Linked DNA regions of Drosophila melanogaster. The protein of the gene in region 4 binds, or shares a complex with, the protein of the main gene of each other region. Each region holds a gene or a part of one and is shown on either strand. Other genes may lie near its edges.

Evidence for each region.
Region 1: Nup107 (region 4) and PCID2 share a complex: the UniProt entries of both Drosophila melanogaster proteins name them as parts of the nuclear pore complex.
Region 2: Nup107 (region 4) and Nup153 share a complex: the UniProt entries of both Drosophila melanogaster proteins name them as parts of the nuclear pore complex.
Region 3: Nup107 (region 4) and Nup54 share a complex: the UniProt entries of both Drosophila melanogaster proteins name them as parts of the nuclear pore complex.

What each region holds. Positions count from the first base shown.
Region 1 is NT_037436.4:11,624,674-11,628,242, forward strand, and holds PCID2 (PCI domain-containing protein 2), read left to right. Parts: upstream 1-1,767; 5' UTR 1,768-1,806; coding exon 1,807-2,994; 3' UTR 2,995-3,042; downstream 3,043-3,569. Other genes in the region: CG6083 (uncharacterized protein), read right to left, coding at 53-107, 178-879, 944-1,086, 1,243-1,311. UniProt on the Drosophila melanogaster protein: Required for the export of nuclear mRNAs and involved in mRNA trafficking in the cytoplasm.
Region 2 is NC_004354.4:16,597,313-16,602,282, reverse strand, and holds the start of Nup153 (nucleoporin 153kD), read right to left. Parts: upstream 3,043-4,970; 5' UTR 2,644-3,042; exon of another isoform or gene 2,560-2,643; 5' UTR 2,129-2,559; coding exon 1,970-2,128; intron 1,904-1,969; coding exon 1,388-1,903; intron 1,330-1,387; coding exon 1,085-1,329; intron 908-1,084; coding exon 1-907. Other genes in the region: CG9784 (uncharacterized protein), read left to right, coding at 4,041-4,970. UniProt on the Drosophila melanogaster protein: Component of the nuclear pore complex (NPC), a complex required for the trafficking across the nuclear envelope. Functions as a scaffolding element in the nuclear phase of the NPC.
Region 3 is NT_033778.4:12,427,946-12,433,008, forward strand, and holds Nup54 (nucleoporin 54kD), read right to left. Parts: upstream 3,155-5,063; 5' UTR 2,992-3,154; coding exon 2,937-2,991; exon of another isoform or gene 2,915-2,936; coding exon of another isoform or gene 2,806-2,914; intron 2,745-2,805; coding exon of another isoform or gene 2,668-2,744; exon of another isoform or gene 2,650-2,667; intron 2,516-2,649; coding exon 2,009-2,515; intron 1,950-2,008; coding exon 1,583-1,949; intron 1,527-1,582; coding exon 965-1,526; intron 898-964; coding exon 556-897; 3' UTR 504-555; downstream 1-503. Other genes in the region: CG43204 (uncharacterized protein), read left to right, coding at 2,668-2,744, 2,806-2,914; DUBAI (deubiquitinating apoptotic inhibitor), read right to left, coding at 4,398-4,976, 5,034-5,063. UniProt on the Drosophila melanogaster protein: Component of the nuclear pore complex (NPC), a complex required for the trafficking across the nuclear envelope. Essential for the nuclear import of nuclear localization signal (NLS)-containing proteins in an importin alpha/importin beta-dependent manner.
Region 4 is NT_033779.5:10,732,793-10,737,826, forward strand, and holds Nup107 (nucleoporin 107kD), read right to left. Parts: upstream 3,280-5,034; 5' UTR 3,154-3,279; coding exon 981-3,153; intron 917-980; coding exon 552-916; 3' UTR 501-551; downstream 1-500. Other genes in the region: Dpy-30L1 (Dpy-30-like 1), read left to right, coding at 26-430; Vha16-5 (vacuolar H[+] ATPase 16kD subunit 5), read right to left, coding at 3,584-4,165. UniProt on the Drosophila melanogaster protein: Plays a role in nuclear pore complex (NPC) assembly and maintenance. Required for nuclear import of Mad. Mediates the association between the nuclear pore complex and a subset of active chromatin regions adjacent to lamin-associated domains.

The DNA.
Region 1 (3,569 bases), on a different chromosome or scaffold from region 4:
ATTAAAGGCAATCAGTTTAAATAACTACTTGTACTTCTAATATTAATTAATATTAATTATCTACTTTGGCTTTGGGTTCAAATGGATGATGAGGATGTCCATAGGCCCTAGGAGAAAAATAGAAAGATTCGAGATATTTCAAGTTAAAACCTAGGAAATGAAAAGAGCAACACCTACGCCTTCATGGTCATAAAACGCCCATTGCAGTCCAATTCGTTAATGGCCTGTATGTCATCGACGGCCAACTCAAAGTCCCAGATTCGCTTAAAGTTGTCCAACATGTGCTGTTTGCTTACTGATCTTGGGATGACAATTATACCCGATTGTGTCTGAAAGCGTAGGAGCACCTGTGCCGCAGTCCTTTCGTATTTCTCAGCTATAGCCAAGATGGTCGGATGCTGGAGCAGTGGATAAGCGCCGGGCTTCTCGTAGGGCGTATGTCCCGATCCCAGGCAGCTGTAGGCGGTCACAGCAATGGCATTGTCATAGCACAGCGTAATCAATGGCTTCTGACTAAGGTACGGGTGGCACTCGATTTGAAGAACTACCGGTTTAAGCTTGGCCACACTGAGAAGTCTATTCATCTGCTGCTCATTGAAGTTAGACACACCGATGGCCTGGCACAGACCCTCGTCCACCAGATTCTCCATTGCACGCCACGTGTCCACATAGTCGATGTCCTCGAATGCGGCCTTATTGGTGTCCGGACACGTGGGATATAGGTTGTCACTGCCCGACTTGTAGGCCATGGGCCAGTGCATCAGGTAGAGGTTTAGGTACTTGACTCCCAAGTTCCTTATGCTTGTCTCACATGCCGGGCGCACCAAATCCGGCTTGTGGTGTGTGTTCCAAAGTTTGCTCGTGATGAAGAGTTCATCTCTGCAGTGCAATATGTATTTATGGCTTAGATAAACGATTGATTAGGCCTGAAAGCAGCACTTACCGTGTGACCACTCCCTCGTCCATTTTCTCCCGGAGAGCAGCTCCCACTTGCGCCTCATTGCCATAGATATGAGCGCAGTCAAAATGGCGATAGCCTATATCAATAGCATCCTTTACTGCTTGGGTCACCACTTCCGGCGGGCTCTAAAATGGCGAATAAAACGTAAAAAGCTGAGGTGCATCAAAAGCTTTTGCTTGACCCCGAAGAGCTTTGACATTGACCGTGAAATATGCAGTGGAAATGCACATTTCAGCTGGCTATTATTTAATAACAATATATATCTATGTAAAAGTACTTACCCGCCAAGTTCCGAGACCCAACATAGGCATATTTTTACCATTGCTCAAGAGAAAATTCGGTGTCGACATGTTTGAATCCTTTTGCTCCTTGTGAAATATGTTGTTGCACTGGCTTCGTTTTTGGAAAGCTTTAATTTGTAATTTACTAAGTGAACTATACTCAAAGGCCTATTAAACTGGCTAGAAACAGCATGTCTTGTGACAGCTCTGCTATCACAACTATATGTACGAAAATTGTTTAAATTTAGAATCTTTTGGGCAAGCAAAAGACCTTCGCGGAATATAATCGATTCGCTGCAGAGGGAAATTTTAAAATTTAAAACAAAAAACTCTTTTTCTGCGTTCAGAGTTTTATTTTATAAACCGAGTATAATGTAAATAAATACCTTTTTTTAATAAAATAAAATAAAATGTTAAAAAAAAAACTTTTGAAAAAATATTCTTTGTATTATCGCGTTATAAAAAACAAAGACAATCGATAGAAGTTTCCGATGAAAACATCGCATTCGCAGATAGTGCCTGACCTACCATCTCTAATTTTGCCGCCTGCGAAAAACACAAACAATGTTCGGCACCGTAAATAACTATTTATCCGGCGTTTTGCACGCCGCCCAGGATTTAGATGGCGAGTCCTTGGCCACGTATCTCTCCTTACGAGACGTGCACGTTCAGAACCACAATTTGTACATTGCCCAGCCGGAAAAGTTGGTGGATCGATTCCTGAAACCGCCACTGGACGAAGTTGTGTCCGCCCACCTGAAGGTGCTGTATCACCTGGCACAGGAGCCTCCTGGTTACATGGAAGCCTACACCCAACAGTCGGCAGCCTGCGGAGCCGTTGTGAGGCTTTTGCAGCAGCTGAAGGACGAGAATTGGTGCCTGCCACTAATGTACCGCGTGTGCCTGGATCTAAGGTACTTGGCGCAGGCCTGCGAGAAGCATTGTCAAGGATTCACACCTGGCCACGTATTGGAGAAGGCTGCCGACTGCATAATGGCCTGTTTCCGCGTTTGTGCCGCTGATGGACGAGCTTCAGAGGAGGACACCAAGCGTCTGGGCATGATGAACCTCGTAAACCAGCTATTCAAGATTTATTTTCGAATCAACAAGTTGCATCTGTGCAAGCCCCTTATCCGTGCCATCGATAATTGCATCTTCAAGGATTCTTTTCCGCTGCCGGAGCAAATTACCTACAAGTATTTTGTAGGTAGACGGGCTATGTTCGACTCCAACTACCAGGCAGCCGTACAGTATCTGTCGTATGCCTTTAGCAACTGCCCGGATCGGTTTGCCAGCAACAAGAGGCTCATCCTCATCTATTTGGTGCCAGTGAAGATGCTGCTGGGATATCTGCCCAGCAAATCCTTACTGCAGCGCTACGATCTCCTGCTGTTTCTCGATCTGGCTATGGCCATGAAGGCTGGCAATGTGAATCGCTTTGATGAGATTGTCAGGGACCAGGAGCTGGTGCTGATCAGGAGTGGTATCTATCTGCTGGTGGAGAAGCTCAAGTTCCTCGTGTATCGCAACCTGTTCAAGAAGGTGTTCGTCATCCGGAAATCGCATCAGTTGGACATGGGTGACTTCCTCTCCGCCTTGCATTTCGTTGGCTTAACCGATGTTTCTCTGGACGAGACGCACTGCATCGTGGCCAATCTCATTTACGATGGAAAGATTAAGGGGTACATCTCACATGCTCACAACAAACTGGTCGTGTCGAAGCAAAATCCATTCCCCTCAGTGTCCCTTTAGTGCATTTTGTAATTATTGTGAATTTTTAAGAGTAAAAGAATCCAATTTAATCAGTGTATTAGTTTACTGGATGGGGCATGTGAATGGAGGGCACCAACGATGAGTATAAGACCTGAAGACTTTGAATTTAAAGTACCTTCAATTCTATTTGGTTATAATTTTGTTTGGTTTTTCGAAACCTATATGTTTCAAATCAACTTATGAACTAATAATATAATTTTTGGTTATAAATATGTTTATTTTTCAACGGTTTTAAACTAATACCACTTTTTAAACTTAATCGAACTTTGGAATTGATATATATCGATTTTTGTGCTCGAACCGATGTATCGACAGCGGAATCGGTTTCGGTCACATCTCTAGGTCCACCGACTATCACTCATCTCTGAACTTTTTGGAACGCAGCTGCATGAATTGTCGTAGTTGAGCGAATTTAAACAAATTAACACAATACTTGTGGTATTACCTGGTAAATGATTAGAGCCTCATTCGCGCAAAGTGTACATAAGACAAGTGGCGAAGATTAGATCTAGTTAGCTAGTAACCATTTCTCAGCCGGCGACGTGTTGTCATTT
Region 2 (4,970 bases), on a different chromosome or scaffold from region 4:
GCGCATCGTGGTGTTCGACAGCCCGGTACCGGGTTTCTTACTGCCACCTTGGCCCACAGATGTCTCCGCAAGACTGCCGGAGTCTGAAGGTCGCATATCTACCGCTTTCATACCGTATCCAATACCACCAGTCATGGAAGCATGCAGCTGATGCGCCGGTGAGCTGCCGGCAGAATTGAGTCCCAACATTGAGGATGCGGCGGATGAGCTAAGATTGCTGCGACTGAAGAGGCGATTGTTGCCGGAATTGCCCCCGAAGGTGGTGCGTCCCTGGTAAAAGGGCGAGCTAGAGGCAGATGCAGAGCCTGAGTTAGAGGCACTGCCACTAAGCAGACGACTGTCGCTCAGTGCCGACGTACTGCCGTATATGGACGCATTGAAGCGACGTCGTTGGGTAAGGGAATTCAGCGACCACGTAGAATTCCGATGCGATTGCTGTGCGGCGGTGTTGCTTCTGTTAAATATTGACTTGGAGCTCTGCAGATTTCCGTAAAATTCTAAATTGCTGTTGCTGTTGTAATGCGACGGACGAAGTCCGTCGTGCCCTTCACCATTGTCGTGGTATTCGTTCATATCGCTCTCGGACTGCGAATCACCGCAACCTCCTGCGGCCGCAGACAGTTCACTTCGTCTTGTTTTTGTCTCAATGACATTGTTGTTGTTATTATTATTATTATTATTGTTGCTAGTATTGTTGTTGGTCCTGCTTATTCTCAGCAAATGATTGAGATGTTCTTCCGAACTCATGGCCGGGCCAGTCCCCGTCTCATCCATGGTAAGATCGCGTCGATGGGTTTGCTTGCCTATGAGCGATGGTCGCTTGTGGTTAGGAAGGCTGGATAGGCTGTTGTTGTAGCTGGTAGCGGTGCTGCTGCCTCCGAAAGGTATGTTCAGTGAACGGCGGATGCTAAAATGATTTAAATGATTGCCTTATAATTTTCACTAAGGTTTTCTTCTTTTTCGTCTTGGCAATAGCCTGGCTATGCAACGCCCAAATTTGAGTTTGTTTGAAACGAGCTCTAAGGTAGTTATCTTTTTGAATTCCATATTAACACTTTTAGTAAGCATGACTGCAGTAACATACCTGTGTGGCAGATCCCCGGTGCTTCCCTCGGCAGCTTCGTTGCCCGTGAAAAAGTTGTACGCGGGTTCGCGCTGCCGTTGACTACCATACAAATTGAGGTGATTGCGCCGATGTGGCGCAATGTGGCTGACGCCCTTGTACATCTGGGAGCTGGAGGAGCTGGTGGCAGCCGCGAGCGGAGCAGCAGGCGTGGATGACAAAAGGGGCAGACGACGCATGTTCGGCAAATTGACGGGGGTCTCCAGCTGAAAGGGATTCAAGATTAGTTGGGAAATGTAGACAGGATTGAAGATGTGATCTTACCTCCAGGCGTCGACGCTTGGTCTGCACGGCGGCGGACTGTTGGAGATTCTCCTGCTCTTCATCGTCATCCTCCTCATCGCCATCCTCGTCGTCCTCTTCCAGTTCATCCTCCTCGGCCTCATCCTCGTCACCGCCGGCAGCTGCAACAGCCCCGGCTCGCTTGCGCAGCAGGAACACATTGTACTCGCTCCGCCGCGTCTGTTCATCCTCGGCGGCCAGGTCGTGTTCGGCTATGTTGTCGGCCAGGGCCACCTCCTCATAGTTGAGGCCTTTGGCATCGGAGCCGTCATCAAGATCATCGGCTGCATCGGCATCCACTTCGGCTAGCATTATCCGACGGCGTCCTCGTTTCCGCTTGGTAGTGAGGCGTCCATTGGACTGGCGTGGCTGTGACTGGCGGAGATTAGCTGGGGAGGATAAGGCATCGTTCCCATCTTTGGACGACGGCGAAAACCAACCGCTCAAGGAGGCGGGCAGAATGCTGGACACGCGCATCTTCATCTTCCCCATGATGGACTGCAATTGCAATTGCACGGAAGTTGGATATTTGATGGGAACCAAGTTATCGTCGACTGTACTTACGTTGTTGCTGTCAGACTCCCGTAGGGCTCCCGCCGAGGATTCATCCTCTTCCTCCTCCTCCTCCTCGCTTTCTTCAGGCAGCTCCTTGAGCGGCGTCAGCGGATGCTTTTTGGCCAATTCGGCTTGCGAGGATTCCCTTTGCTCCTGTGCATCCTCCATTATGCCGCTTTAGATTCAGACTCACCTTTTTAGCCGGCGAAGCAACGGCACAAAAGAGAGATGCAAAAAAAACGCGAAAAAGAAGCGTTGCCGCACACACAACAAAAAACGTAAGTAAAAAAAAAAACCAAAAAAAAAGCACACACTGTTGCAATTCCTGCGAGCTAGTTTGTATGTGTAGGTGCGGATAATGTTCGCTCACTCGCTTCGTTCTCACTCTCTATCCTGCCTTCTCTCTCTGTCTGTGCGTGTGCAAAGGTGTGAGTGCGCTTACGCACGCCGTCGTGGTTTTTTTTGTTCGCGTTTCGCCGAGGTTTTACACACGCCGCGATATTTTTAAATAATATTCTGTTTGGCGCCACAAACTGGTCGCGTTTGATCAGGATTTGACTTCTTGGCCACCAATGAAGAGCAAATTCTGGGCACAAGCACTGCAAAATTAGAGGCGGGAAAAAGGATTGAATACCGAATTCGGGCGAAGCGCTCGAGGTTCTTGCTTTTGGCTTTGCCCTTACCGCTTTCCAGCATGCCGCCCGTTTTCTTCAATATTTGTTTTACTTTTGCCGGATAGATTTGATATATATTTGATATATTTTCACCTTCCTTTTGTCTTTGTGCTTCTTCCACTTCTTCCGCACACACTGCTTTCGCAATTCTTCGTTCCTCTTCTTCACGCTCTGCTCACACACACACGCGCGCAGCGATTCGGTACGAATTTTGGCGTTTTACCGCCGCGAAATCCACACTTTTAATTGCAATTTAACATTTGCCGCTGGTCGCATTCAGGTTTTCCATTGTTGCACGAGAACACGCACCACCGATTTGCAAGAAACAGAATTTCAAAAGAGCACGATTTGATTGGGGAAAAAACGCGTGTGTGGCCACAAAGTAGAGCTGGAACCAAAATCGATGTTTGTCAGATACTATCGGCGTGTCGGGCAGCGTGTGCTAATCGATACGTTGCCTGCAGCTATCGGTTACATGCACGTTTACGGTTTGGAAGTCTGTAATTATTAAATATTTTTAATTGGTGATGAACTGCCATACGGGCTTATTACTCAAGAACCGCTTCAAGTGCGACTTATAACATATGTAACCATTTGCTTGTGTTGTCATTTGAATACTAAGCATTTGCATTGACTAAAAGGAATTCTCGTTTGTATCTTTAAGTTGGAGTGAGGTATTTGTTTAGGTTTTTACTTGGCTGTGTGATAATGCAAAAGTTTAAATACTGTACTAATGTTAATCGATAGTTGTCCTAAAAAGAATTTCCAGCGAGTTAAAATTCAGCGAGTGCTAGAGTGACCACAGATTCTGCATTAGAAATAAAGCAAATATAATAAACGAACATAATATGAGCGCCAAATATAAAAGCCCTTATTAAGGTGCAAATATGACAAAGAAATTATACAGTATAAATGTTAAATAAATCTTAAAAAATGGGTTATAGGGGAAACCATATTGTTTTGGTTCAATTTTAGCAAGCCATTTTAAAACAACTTGAATTTACTACTAGATGAATCAAATATGTTACCTCTTAACGTCTAAGAAATTTACATTTTTAGGGCTGGAAAATAAATACCGCTAGTCGATATCGTCATCTTCTCAGTTTTGCCATCCCTAGTTGTTGTTATTGTGTTCGTCGTGTTGTTGTAGCACAGTTGTTGTTGTTGCTGCTGCTGGGCAAACAAGTGTTAAAAACTATTTGTGCTGCAATATTTTCAGCAATTACCGACCGCCCTCGCCGCTGTTCACCACCCAACTTAACCAGCAACCCAGATTGGAGCAACAAAATCCACAAAGGCATAAAGAATCGACTTACACAATAAAACCTTAATCGGTTGGGTAAACAACTTGATTGCTGTGAGCAGCCAGTTGGGTTAATCTCTTCGATTTGTCAAGTCCAGCAACAATGAGCCAAACGGAGGCTAGCAAGACACCCAAGATTCCGGACTCGGAGCCGGACGGATCGAAGGGCAAAGGGAAGCAACAGCTGGAAACTTACCGGGTATATGTGGTCACCTGGAATGTGGGCAGTCGATTTCCGGATAACATATCCCTCCGCCATCTGCTGGGACTGCAGGATGTGACGGTGGATAAGGACACGAAGGAGACTAATGCCCACTTGCCGGACATCTATGCGTTGGGGCTCCAGGAGGTCAATGCCCAGCCGCAGCAACAGGTGTTGGGACTGTTCAAGGAGGATCCGTGGACGCACAAGGCTAAGGAACTGCTACGCAACTACGACTATGTGGCCGTAAAGACCGAGCAGATGCAGGGGCTGCTGCTCAGCATGTTCGTGAGGCGGCAGCACGTTGAGCACTTGCAGGACATCGAGGCGGAGTTCACGAGGACCGGTTTCGGTGGCATTTGGGGCAACAAGGGCGCCGTCAGTGTCAGGTTCACCCTTTACGGCTGCGGACTGGCCTTTGTGGTGGCCCATCTGACTGCCCATGACCATATGATGGACGAGCGCATCGAGGACTACAAGCAGATACTGGAGAACCATCACTACCACGTCAAGCGGTATAGGGAGATCTACGATCACGACTATGTCTTCTGGTTTGGCGATCTGAACTTCCGACTGCAGGGCAGCGATTCCTCGACGGAAGTGCGCGAGTTGGTACGCGATGAGTCCCAGCACGAGGCCCTTATCCAGCGGGATCAATTGTATCAAGTTCGCGAGAAGTCGCAGCTGGCCTTTCAGGTTCTGCAGGAGCGACTGCCCGCCTTTCCGCCCACCTTCAAGTTCCGCGAGGGCACCTCCGAGTACGACCTGAAGCGGCGGCCAGCCTGGACGGATCGGATAATGTACGCCGTGCAGCCACTGAACCGGCAGCCC
Region 3 (5,063 bases), on a different chromosome or scaffold from region 4:
CAACAAAAAACCTGCACGGACCCTGGCTGGCTGGTTGACTGGGAGAAAACTAGTTTCCCACACAAGAAATAAATATGTAACGAGCCAACTAACTAGACTGCACATGTATGCACACGCCAGAGCACATAATAATGTTAATGTAACAACGATGGTGATACCGATGCTGGGAGTTGAACAAACTGGAACTGCCAGAGACGAACCGTTTGCCACTCATAATGAGTCCGAGCGATTGCCTTCTGCCTAGCCGTCGAAATTGGACAATTTCAGACAGTGGCCGAGGAAAAGTCGGGCGGTCCAAGAGCTGTGCGGTGCAAGTGCATTGACCCACACAATTATTTCCGCAGCATTGGCGACGAATGTGTGAACTCGTTTCGATTGTTTCGACTCCATTGCCCGTAAAAGTGCAAGTTCAAAGCTACAGGAAATGCTAAACGACGACATAATGGCAAAAGTGTAACGGCCACAACTTGTTCGTTGTCTCGATCATCGAAAATCACCGGGTTGTGTTACACATATGTGGGTTTTATTCAACGTATCAGCTCATTTCCATTCCTATCACGATTGTCGCAGCTCGGGCAGTCCTTTAATTATAACATCCAGCGCCCTCAGGTCCTTGTTGACGGTATCGCTCAGCACCTCCATGGCGCGCTGCTGCATCGTCAGAAAGGTCTTCATCTCGTCCTCCGCTTCCTTGTCGAGGGCATACTCGGCACCACCGTTGGCTGCGAATTGATTGCGCTGCATGCGCATCTGGGAGAGGAGCTCGCTGAGTCGGCCCTTGAATTGGGTGGGTGCGGAGACGACAGCCAGCATGTTCTGTAGCTTGGTGCGCAAGGCCTCCTCCTCGGGCGTCAGGGAAGTGCCCACCTTGCGGGTGCACTCTTGTTTCACTATTATCTGTGGTTGAAAAATGCGGATTTCTGAATGTAAAAATAAAGTTGGGTATTTAACTAGGTGTCCCTACCCTTAGTATGCGATGACTGAGCTCGGCCAGTTTCCGTTTATGTTCAAGTATCTTCGCTGTGGCAGTGGCATGGCGCTTCTTGAGTTCTGTCAGCTCACTCTCCACCTTCTTTATGTACAATGCATGCGTGTCCGTTTCTTGTTCCTGACACTTAACGCGCCACTTTAAGTCGTTAAAGCCCACCATGGGCACTGGTATATATAAAGTTGGATCTGGATTGTCGGAATTGGCCTGACGCCACATGCGCGGATCCACGCCGCGGGGTGGATTTTCAAGGTACTCCCTCAATTGATCTTCGTCGGGTAATACCAGAGCCAAAGCCTCCACAACACCTAGATTATTGAGCTGTGGTTTCAGCGTCGCCTGATTAAGGTAGTTTGAGAGTTCGGTGGCAAGTATACGCTTGCTTTCGTTGGGAGCATGTTGAAGTTTCTCCTCGACATAAATAACAATTTGGCACTTTTTGTTCTCCAACTCCTTGATGGAATCTATGTGAACAAGCATGTTGGGCTTGCTGCCGAATAAACTGTGAAGCGTTTGAATCACTTGTTGCTGGTGTGGCCTAAAATAAAATGAATTAATACCTATGCCATGATGTAGACAAGCACTAAGACTTACTTGACAGCTGAGAGTTCTCTGCAGAAGTTAAGAGCCACCAGTCCCAACTTGTTATCCTTGCCCGGCATACGACTGTAGCCTATGGCCTTGAACCGGCACATCACGTTCTCCGGCGTAATGTCTACCGGTGCCGCACTCTGGGAGTAAAACATTTTCCCAGTGCCCCACGTAGCCTGCAAGTAGTTCCATTTGGCCACTATTTTGTCCCGTTCATCCCCGAAAATGGATACATTCAGAATGGATTGGGCAAACGCCTCGTCAGCCGATATGGGCGCTGGCTGCTGTTGCGGCTGTCCAAGCATAAAACTGGTGCCTCCGAATCCACCAAATCCCGGCGTAACTGTTGTATTCGCTGGTTTTCCGAACGCTGAAACATAAACCAGGTTAGGAATACCACAGAAAGACAAATGGGCTTATTTAACTTACTGGATCCGAAGGCTCCGCCCCCAAAGCCAGTGGACTGGCTGGTGCCAAAGCCACCAAAAGCAGGTGCCGACGTTGTGGTTGTGCCAAAGCCTGAAAATCCACTTGCTGGCGCTGTACTCGCAGCTGCCTGTTGGCCGAATCCGCTAAAAGCTGGTGGTGCTGCACTAGTCGCTGGAGCGCCGAACAGACCGGCCTGACTTGTTGCCGGAGCTGCTCCAAATCCGCCGAAACCGCCTCCTCCCAAACCCGTGCCCGCAGTTGTGGTTGTCGCCGCACCAAATGCCGGAGTACTGCCAAAGGCGGAGCCGCCAAAGGCAGAAGTTCCTGTGGCGGCTCCAAAAGCCGGGGCTGCAGCGGTTGCTCCAAAGGCGGAACCTGCTCCGAAGGCAGAAGTCGCCGGTTGGGCGCCAAAAGCCGGAGTCGATGTGGCCTGTGCTCCGAAAGCGGGTGCTGGCTGGCTGGTTGCAGCTGTGCCTCCAAACGGCGATCCGAAGAGGCCACCGGTTGCTGAACAAAAGAGATAAGAAGACCAGAAATGGGTCAGTGTTTTGAAAACTATGCTTCTGCCTTGGATTCTTATCTGAGATTTCGGGTTCCAAAATACTACAGAAGCTGCCCTTAGTTTGCTTCAAGCTCTGGTCGCCTGCTGGTCGTGGAAAATGGCTCTGGTTTTTATATTGCTGATCCTCCTGCTAGGTTTTGTGGGATACGTCGCCTATGTGGTCCACAAGAAGGGGTGAGCATCTTTGTCTGGCCACATAAGAACACTGACACCATGTAGCCCGTCCCACATCCAGCATAGATCCCAAAGACATCCGCATCCACAGCCTGCAGGACGCCAAGAAGCTGCTGAAGCCTCCACCAAGTGGAAATGGACCCCACAAATATTTGGAGAAAAGGGCATGAGGTCTTGTTTACGGAAACTCACTTTTGGCCGGCGTGCTTGTTGCTCCCAGCGACGTGTTGGATCCGAAGAACGACATGATGCGGTATTCTCAAGGACGTTACTTTGCCGCACAGTTTGGGTTGCCTTTCCTAGGGGCCGGAATTTGTACAATTCTATTTTATTGTAATAAAATTAGTCTTAATCCTAATAAACGTAAAATTTTGGCGCTTTCTAGCAGTGTTACCAGATTGTAAATGGGCTCTCACCCTTGCTGACAACAACACTTGAATTTCCCTTATTAATTTGGTAACACTGCCGCGCGGTCTAAATTATCGATAGTCTTAGGCCCGACTTTTGATTATTAGTACGCTATAATTTGAAATTTGGCGGCAAGAAAATCAATTCGCCACTTCAATAATCCTGTCAAGTTTTTAATTCTAGTTTACGCCTCCTCTCTAATGTTTGAACTGAATATAATATCCTCCTTTCTGATCATTGCTTTTCTTTTTGATATAGTAACTTCCATGAATGGATACTATTTTTGTTGTTTTCACATTAAACTCTTTCGTGACTCTAATAATTAAACACTCTTTGGGCTTGTTCTTTTCTTTATTGATACACTTATAGCATAGCATAGTATAGATTTTGGTTATCAATAGACATACACCATATACAAATTTCCTTGAAATTATTCCAATTTAATTGCAATAACGTTCAAAATTCATCGCAACCTCTGCTCACCAGATCCAAAGAGATACATTTATATATATCAATTACAAATTCGTGTCGCACATGCGCAAATTTTTTGAAATTTGCTAAAATTAACAGTGAAACTAATAATACGATCCGAGGGTTATAGCCCGATCTATAAACGATCTCGATCTATACAAGTCAATGCCGCGATTATCTTGTTTTGTAGCTTCTTGCTAGTTCGATTGCAACTCGAGATATGATTTAATTTCGAGCTGTGCGTTAAAAACTAGGGTGCAGACATTATTTCTGGTTTAGTGTTTTGGAAGTTAGTGGTCTTCGGATTCAAGTATATCGCTCCTATTTCTGGCTAATTCTATTGTTTTTTTTTTTTTTTAATTTTTATAATTAAATATGTTTGTGTTCGCATATATGCACGTTCTACAACTAGGTTTGTGTTAACAAAAACAAAAAAATTATAACAATTTTGTAAATGGAAATACAATAATAGTTTGCGTTCGTATGAGTGGATGAGTATAATGATTTTTGGGGCAACGGGCCGAAGGATCAAGGAGAAAAGGAAGAAACAATTTAGAAAACATCGACAACAACTCAAGGAGGTAGCGAACAAGCGATCGGTAAGCGCGTTTCTCATACACTTCGATATACGTAGGCGCATATATCTCGATTGGTTGTGAACGTGCTATATATATATGTATGTAACATTTCGATTAGTATGCGCGTGTTTCATAAAGTAGACAAGTATATGTTCTAGTGGCCTCCGGTGTGCTCGCTATCCTGGCTGTCGCTTTCTCAGAAGACGAAGCGGTTGATGTTCATGCCCAGTCCATTGCCTCCACATCCTCCGGGCGGCGGCGGCGCCTTGTCGTCCTCGTCACCATCGCCATCAAAGTTGTGCCGGCTGACAAACGCATTGCCGTGACCGCTGTTGCCACGCTTAAAGCGTTGCATCTTCAACTCTTCGTTGTAAACATGGTTGTCCTTTCTTACGTAGTCGCGAAGTCGGCGTGGCAACTCCTCCAGCTTCAGAGGCGGCGACAGTGGCACCGAGACCACCTGGTCATTTGAGCCCGATACCATACTCGAACTGCAGCTGGCCGTAACCGAATTAGACTCATTGGAGTGGCCGCACATCTTGTAGAACAGGATGTAGGGCGTGTTGGGCGAAGTGAGATTGTGCATCTCCTCCGGCTTGGAGTGGGTAACCACGTTATCGTTGAACTTGTACCAATTCTTGGCTTGATCCGCCGCGAACGTAAAGTAGTGACCGGAATCCATGCTGTACCCGGCGTGAACAACACCCGCATACAGATCATAGTGCACAGTGGACATCTCCTGCAGCGAGTCCTTTGCCGACATTTTTACTGTGACCTAGCGTGCGAAATGGTTAGCTAAACTTGTAGCGGAGAAATTCGCTGCGATACTTACGCTCTCATCGTGGAACACCTTATGCATGAG
Region 4 (5,034 bases):
TGCTGAACAAAAGGAACACATTGCCATGGAGGCCAAGACCGACGCACCCATCTCACCAGCGCCCACAACAAATCCGCCGGCAGAAGCTGGCAAGGAGCCAAATGCAAGCAGCAATGCGCAAGCAAACCCGACCGCTGCGCCGGGAGCTCCTCCATCCGGAGCCATTGCCGTTGGCCAGTCCACAAATCCAGTGGCGCAGCAGCAACAGCAGCCGGCGGTGGCCAAGAAGCCCAGTAGCGAGACAAACAACATGCCCACGCGACAGTACCTCGACCAGACGGTGGCGCCGGTTCTGCTCCACGGAATGCAGGCCCTGGCTCGCGAACGGCCCACGGATCCCATACAGTTCCTGGCCTCCTACCTACTAAAGCATAGCAACGGGTGCGACGAGAACAACGCCTCCGCCGCCGCCGTGGACAACAACTCCTAAGCCCTCCATCCTACCTACCTCCCATTTGTCCCCCTCCTTAGTTGTATAATTGAACAGTGAATAAATAATAAACGTTTAAAGTTAGAATGTAATCGCAAAACACACAAATGTACTAGGATTGCTAAGTTGTTATAGGATAGCCCCATGGATCCAGTTTCGAGTTGAGCAGCTCCAGGGAGGCGTCCGCGATCTTGGCCAGAAGCTCTGCCAGCTTGTGCTTCGTATAGACTTTGTACAACTGCCGATTCTCGCTGGATATTTCATCTGCCAGGCGCACGCAACCCGCAAAGTCTCCCGACTTGAACATCACTTCGTTCAGAAACAGGGCGATCTCAGGAATGCAGATGGAGCGCAATTTCTCCATCTGCAGTAGGCGATGATCCCAGCTCAGCTGCACGGCGTTCTCGGGCAGCTTGGCGATGAACGGATCCACCAGCCAACCCTTGTCCGGGAACATGAGCACATTGTACAGGAGTTCGATGGTTTCTGCAGGGAAAGAATGCGGGTTATATGCCAAAAGATCTCATTAATGGGTATGCGATCCACTTACGCTTGGCCTGCTCCTTAACCTTGTGCTCCCAGCGCACGACTTCCGATCGGTGAGCCTGCTCCTTGCGCTCACTCGCCATGCGCTCCGTGAAGTTGTCCTGCGAGGAAGCTGCGTGTGAAGTCTGTGGCTTCTTGGGCCTGTTCTGCTGCAGGCGGTTCCATTCGACGAAACTGTCGACGCCAGACAGATACGCCTTGTAGCAGAGATACTCCTTCAGGCAGCACTCCTCACGCGGTGGTATGTTGTCCACCGAGCCGTACAAGCTGACTAGTTGCTGCACTATGTCGGCCGGCACCATGCGGAAGGTCTGGCGCATGCACTCCACCTTGCTGCTGGCCAGATAGGTGCGTATCATGGCGTTGGCCTGCCACAGCAACTCACCGCGCTGCTCCGGCAAATGGATTAGCCACTCCAATGCTGAGATCTTGCGCTGATCGATTGCAGAGATCTCGCCGGACTGCGGCTCACCGAATTCCCCGAGTGGCTGATGTGCGAGGCGAATATTCTGCACGGTGACGCGTGTGATCTGTTCCACATCCAAGCCCGCCTGCAGGGCGGCATCCACAGCTAGCTCCCGCGGACGCTTCTGCTCCACTTGCTCCAGAAACCGCGAGTAGAGCTGAACCTGCAGCGGATTCGAAAGCGATGCAGTATAGTAGGCTATTAGCTGCGGTTCGCCCCTGGCAATCAATGCCTCCACATATGCGGCTACGATCTTCTCCGCCTGTCGCTCCTGCTCCACACGGCCGATTTGACGCAGGAAGAGCACTATGTGGGCCATAAAGCGCAATTGATGGGGCGATTGTTGGGAGGTATCCTTCTCCACCCAGCGCACCATGTGTTGGATCAGCTCGCCGCAAGTATCCAGGATTAAATGACGCTGGATAATGCCCAGTTGACTTTGGGCGAAATCCCGCACCGACGCATCCTTGGCAACGTTCAGTTCCTCGAAGATCTGCTCCATCGTCATCCTGCCGTTCCAGTAATCATCGGGCATCGGTTGGTAGTTTTTGAGGCAGCAGCCGCGTATCTCCGATTCCACACGGATGTCGATCTGCACCTTCAGATGGGCCCAGAGCAAATCGTGCCAGTTGCTGTGCAAAAGGGTTTTCAGCGAGCCCAAGTGGCCGGAGAAGACACCCGCCGTCGCGCGGCTGTACTCGTCATAGTTCTTGGAATCGGCCAGCATCCACGCGCAGCGCTTCCAGATATCCCTCCTGGGATTGCCCTCGATGGGCAGCTTTTCGTGCAGCACCGAGACATTCTGCTCGAAGTTGGGATCCTCGTGGAGACGCCAGCCCTCAAGGATCGCCGCCCGCCACGTCTGTCCGAAGTGCTTGCACAACTTGAGGCCATCGTCGACGCGTCCCGCTCGTATCAATTCGAAAATGGCGCGGGACAGGCGCAGGTTGTCCTCCTCGTCGAGGGCGTGCAACGGTCGTTTCTCGCGTACGGGAGCATCTGGATCCAGACGCGTTACGATCTTATGGCCCTTGCCAAAGGCGGCGCCCTGCAGGTTCTCCAGTTGGAAGAGCGTGTTCTCCCACGCCATCATACGATCGTGGGCGTGGAGTGGGTTTTGTTGCTCCCCCCGGTCGTAGCACGCCTCCAGCCAGTCCACCACCAGCTGGTACTCACGCAGCGTCGCATTGAGGGCGTACAACTGCTGTATGACCTCCTTCTCGCTGCCGCCGAGCGTGGGGCCATCTTGCATCTCATCATCCGCCTGCCTGTCCGTCTGCAGCAGGATGCGGTCGTAGAAGAGGGCGTGCAGCAGGCGCCACGTGTTTATCTCCTGTCGCAGCCAGGTGAGCATAGACTCGCGTTGCCGCGCGCCCTGTTCCCCACCCATGCCGTGATCGATCTCCAGCTCCAGCTGCTCCACCACGCCGCGACAGACTTGCGTCAGCGATTGGATCACCTCGAATGCCTCCTGCCCGTTACCCTGAGCCTGCAGCACGTCGAAGAACTGCGGGAAGAGCACGTCCATGCGGCTCTTGCCCCGATCCAGATCATCGCCGGTGTCCTCCATCAGCGAGAGCTCATTCTGCTCCGCGTTGCTCTTCTCGAGGATGAGCAGCGAGTGGGAGAGATTTTGCGGCGGCATCGAGCTGTTCAGCGTCGTGCGTAGCAGGCCACTGCGGCTGCTCCTCGGGAACGGGCTGTCGGCCATGGCTGCACTATGCGTTTCTTGGCTATCAGCTACGGCACATCAATTCAATTAATTTAATCAAAACAGAAATTCACGCGCTATTCGCTAAAAATGCCGGGAGCGTTCAGTGTTACCAGATGACGGAACAGCAAGAAAGCTCCCTTGCACATACACTTGTAAATAAGCGATTCTCACTGAATTCAAGCAAATTTCGTAAGAAACAAATTGATTTAAATTGTTTACATATCTAGTAATTCGGCAAAGCTGCTAAAGAATAAGGTACCAGCATTCCGTAGAATCATTAGTATGGGGTACCTCCATCGCGTACCGCAACGGCGTACCTGAAATGAGTACCACAATCGCGTAAAGAAATTCAAAAGGCATTTCAAATATTAAAGATCGATAAAAACGTTTCTTAACGAATTAAATATTTTAGATATAACAAATTCTGCTACTTAATGTTGACCGTGTACAAATAAATCCCAATGATCAGGCCGTAGAGACCGAGCACCTCGGCGAAAATAAGGATCAGGATCATGCCGATAAAGAGGCGTGGCTGCAGGGCAATGTGCCGCACGCCCACTTCGCCGACTTCACCCACTGCATATCCGGCAGCCAGTCCAGCAAATCCCACCGAAAGTCCAGCGGCCAGGTGTACATAGCCGGTGGGCAGCGAGTATTTGGGAGCAGGCGCTAGTTCCCCAGATAGGAGCACGGATACCACCAGACCGTATATGGCAATGATGCCCGCCATGACCACCGGAATGATGGACTTCATCACCAGCTCGGGACGCATCACCGCTGTGGCGGCGATTCCAGTTCCGGAAACAGCAGTTCCGTAGGCCGCTCCAGCGGAGGTCAGCACACTGGAGAATACGACGCCCATCACGCCATAGAACGGGGAGTACGGCGGATAGCGATCCAGCACGATTGGCGATATACTGGTTTCCTTCAGCTTGAGACTTTCAATCAGCCCCGGCACGTCCACCGAATTTGATCCGTTATACACTGGCAGATAGTAATCCATTTCCATTTTGGTAGCCTTTTTCGTATTTACTTGAAAAGGAACGATCCACGTTGCTTGCTTTCTGGATTTTCCAACTTGTTAGTCTGACTAGCCTGTAGTTTGGCAAGAAAGAAAATCCAAGGGGAACGAGATGAGCAGTTTATATTTAATATTAATATTATTTAAGATGTTAGGGCTCAATTCAATAATTTTAGCAACTTGTTAAGTGAAATTAAACACTAATAATAAAACTTGCTTAGATTTAGGCACTCGAAATTAAATTAAATATTATTAAATGTTTAAAACCTTCGAAAGATGTAACAATCGATTGCGGTTTGAATTTGAAGCTGCGCGGTTTATCGGTCATCATGCTGGCGACGTGCACGAAACGCTTGCATGACGATATGCTGCCGTCCAATCGTGCAAGGGCCGCCCAACATAAAACATTTTTCTTTTATTTGTTGTACGCACGGCGAAGACGCTTGCAATTGCGATTTTGGCTCTGCAGAATTGCGATTGGGCGATGCGCTGCATTCGCTCGAGTCGCAGCTCCTGGCAGTCGCAGCTAACCAGACAACGGGTCGGAGGACGGTACGCGATTCCGGCGACCCACGGAACCGAGCAGCCAAATTCAAAAACAAGCGAGCACCGAAAACAGGAAGCAAGTTATTCGCATTTCGCTGGCGGCGCATAAAATGGAACGCAGTGGACGAATGTGGACGAGAGCCCTGAGAGAAACACAAAAGCACGGAACCTGAGCAACAGCACACACCAGTGATATAATAGTAGTCTACGGAACCCCTGATCCACGGCACTTCGCATCTAATCTCACCCAAGGTACGGCATTGATTTTTCTCCCCGCAAACGCGCATTTTTATTATAGAGAAAATGTTCAC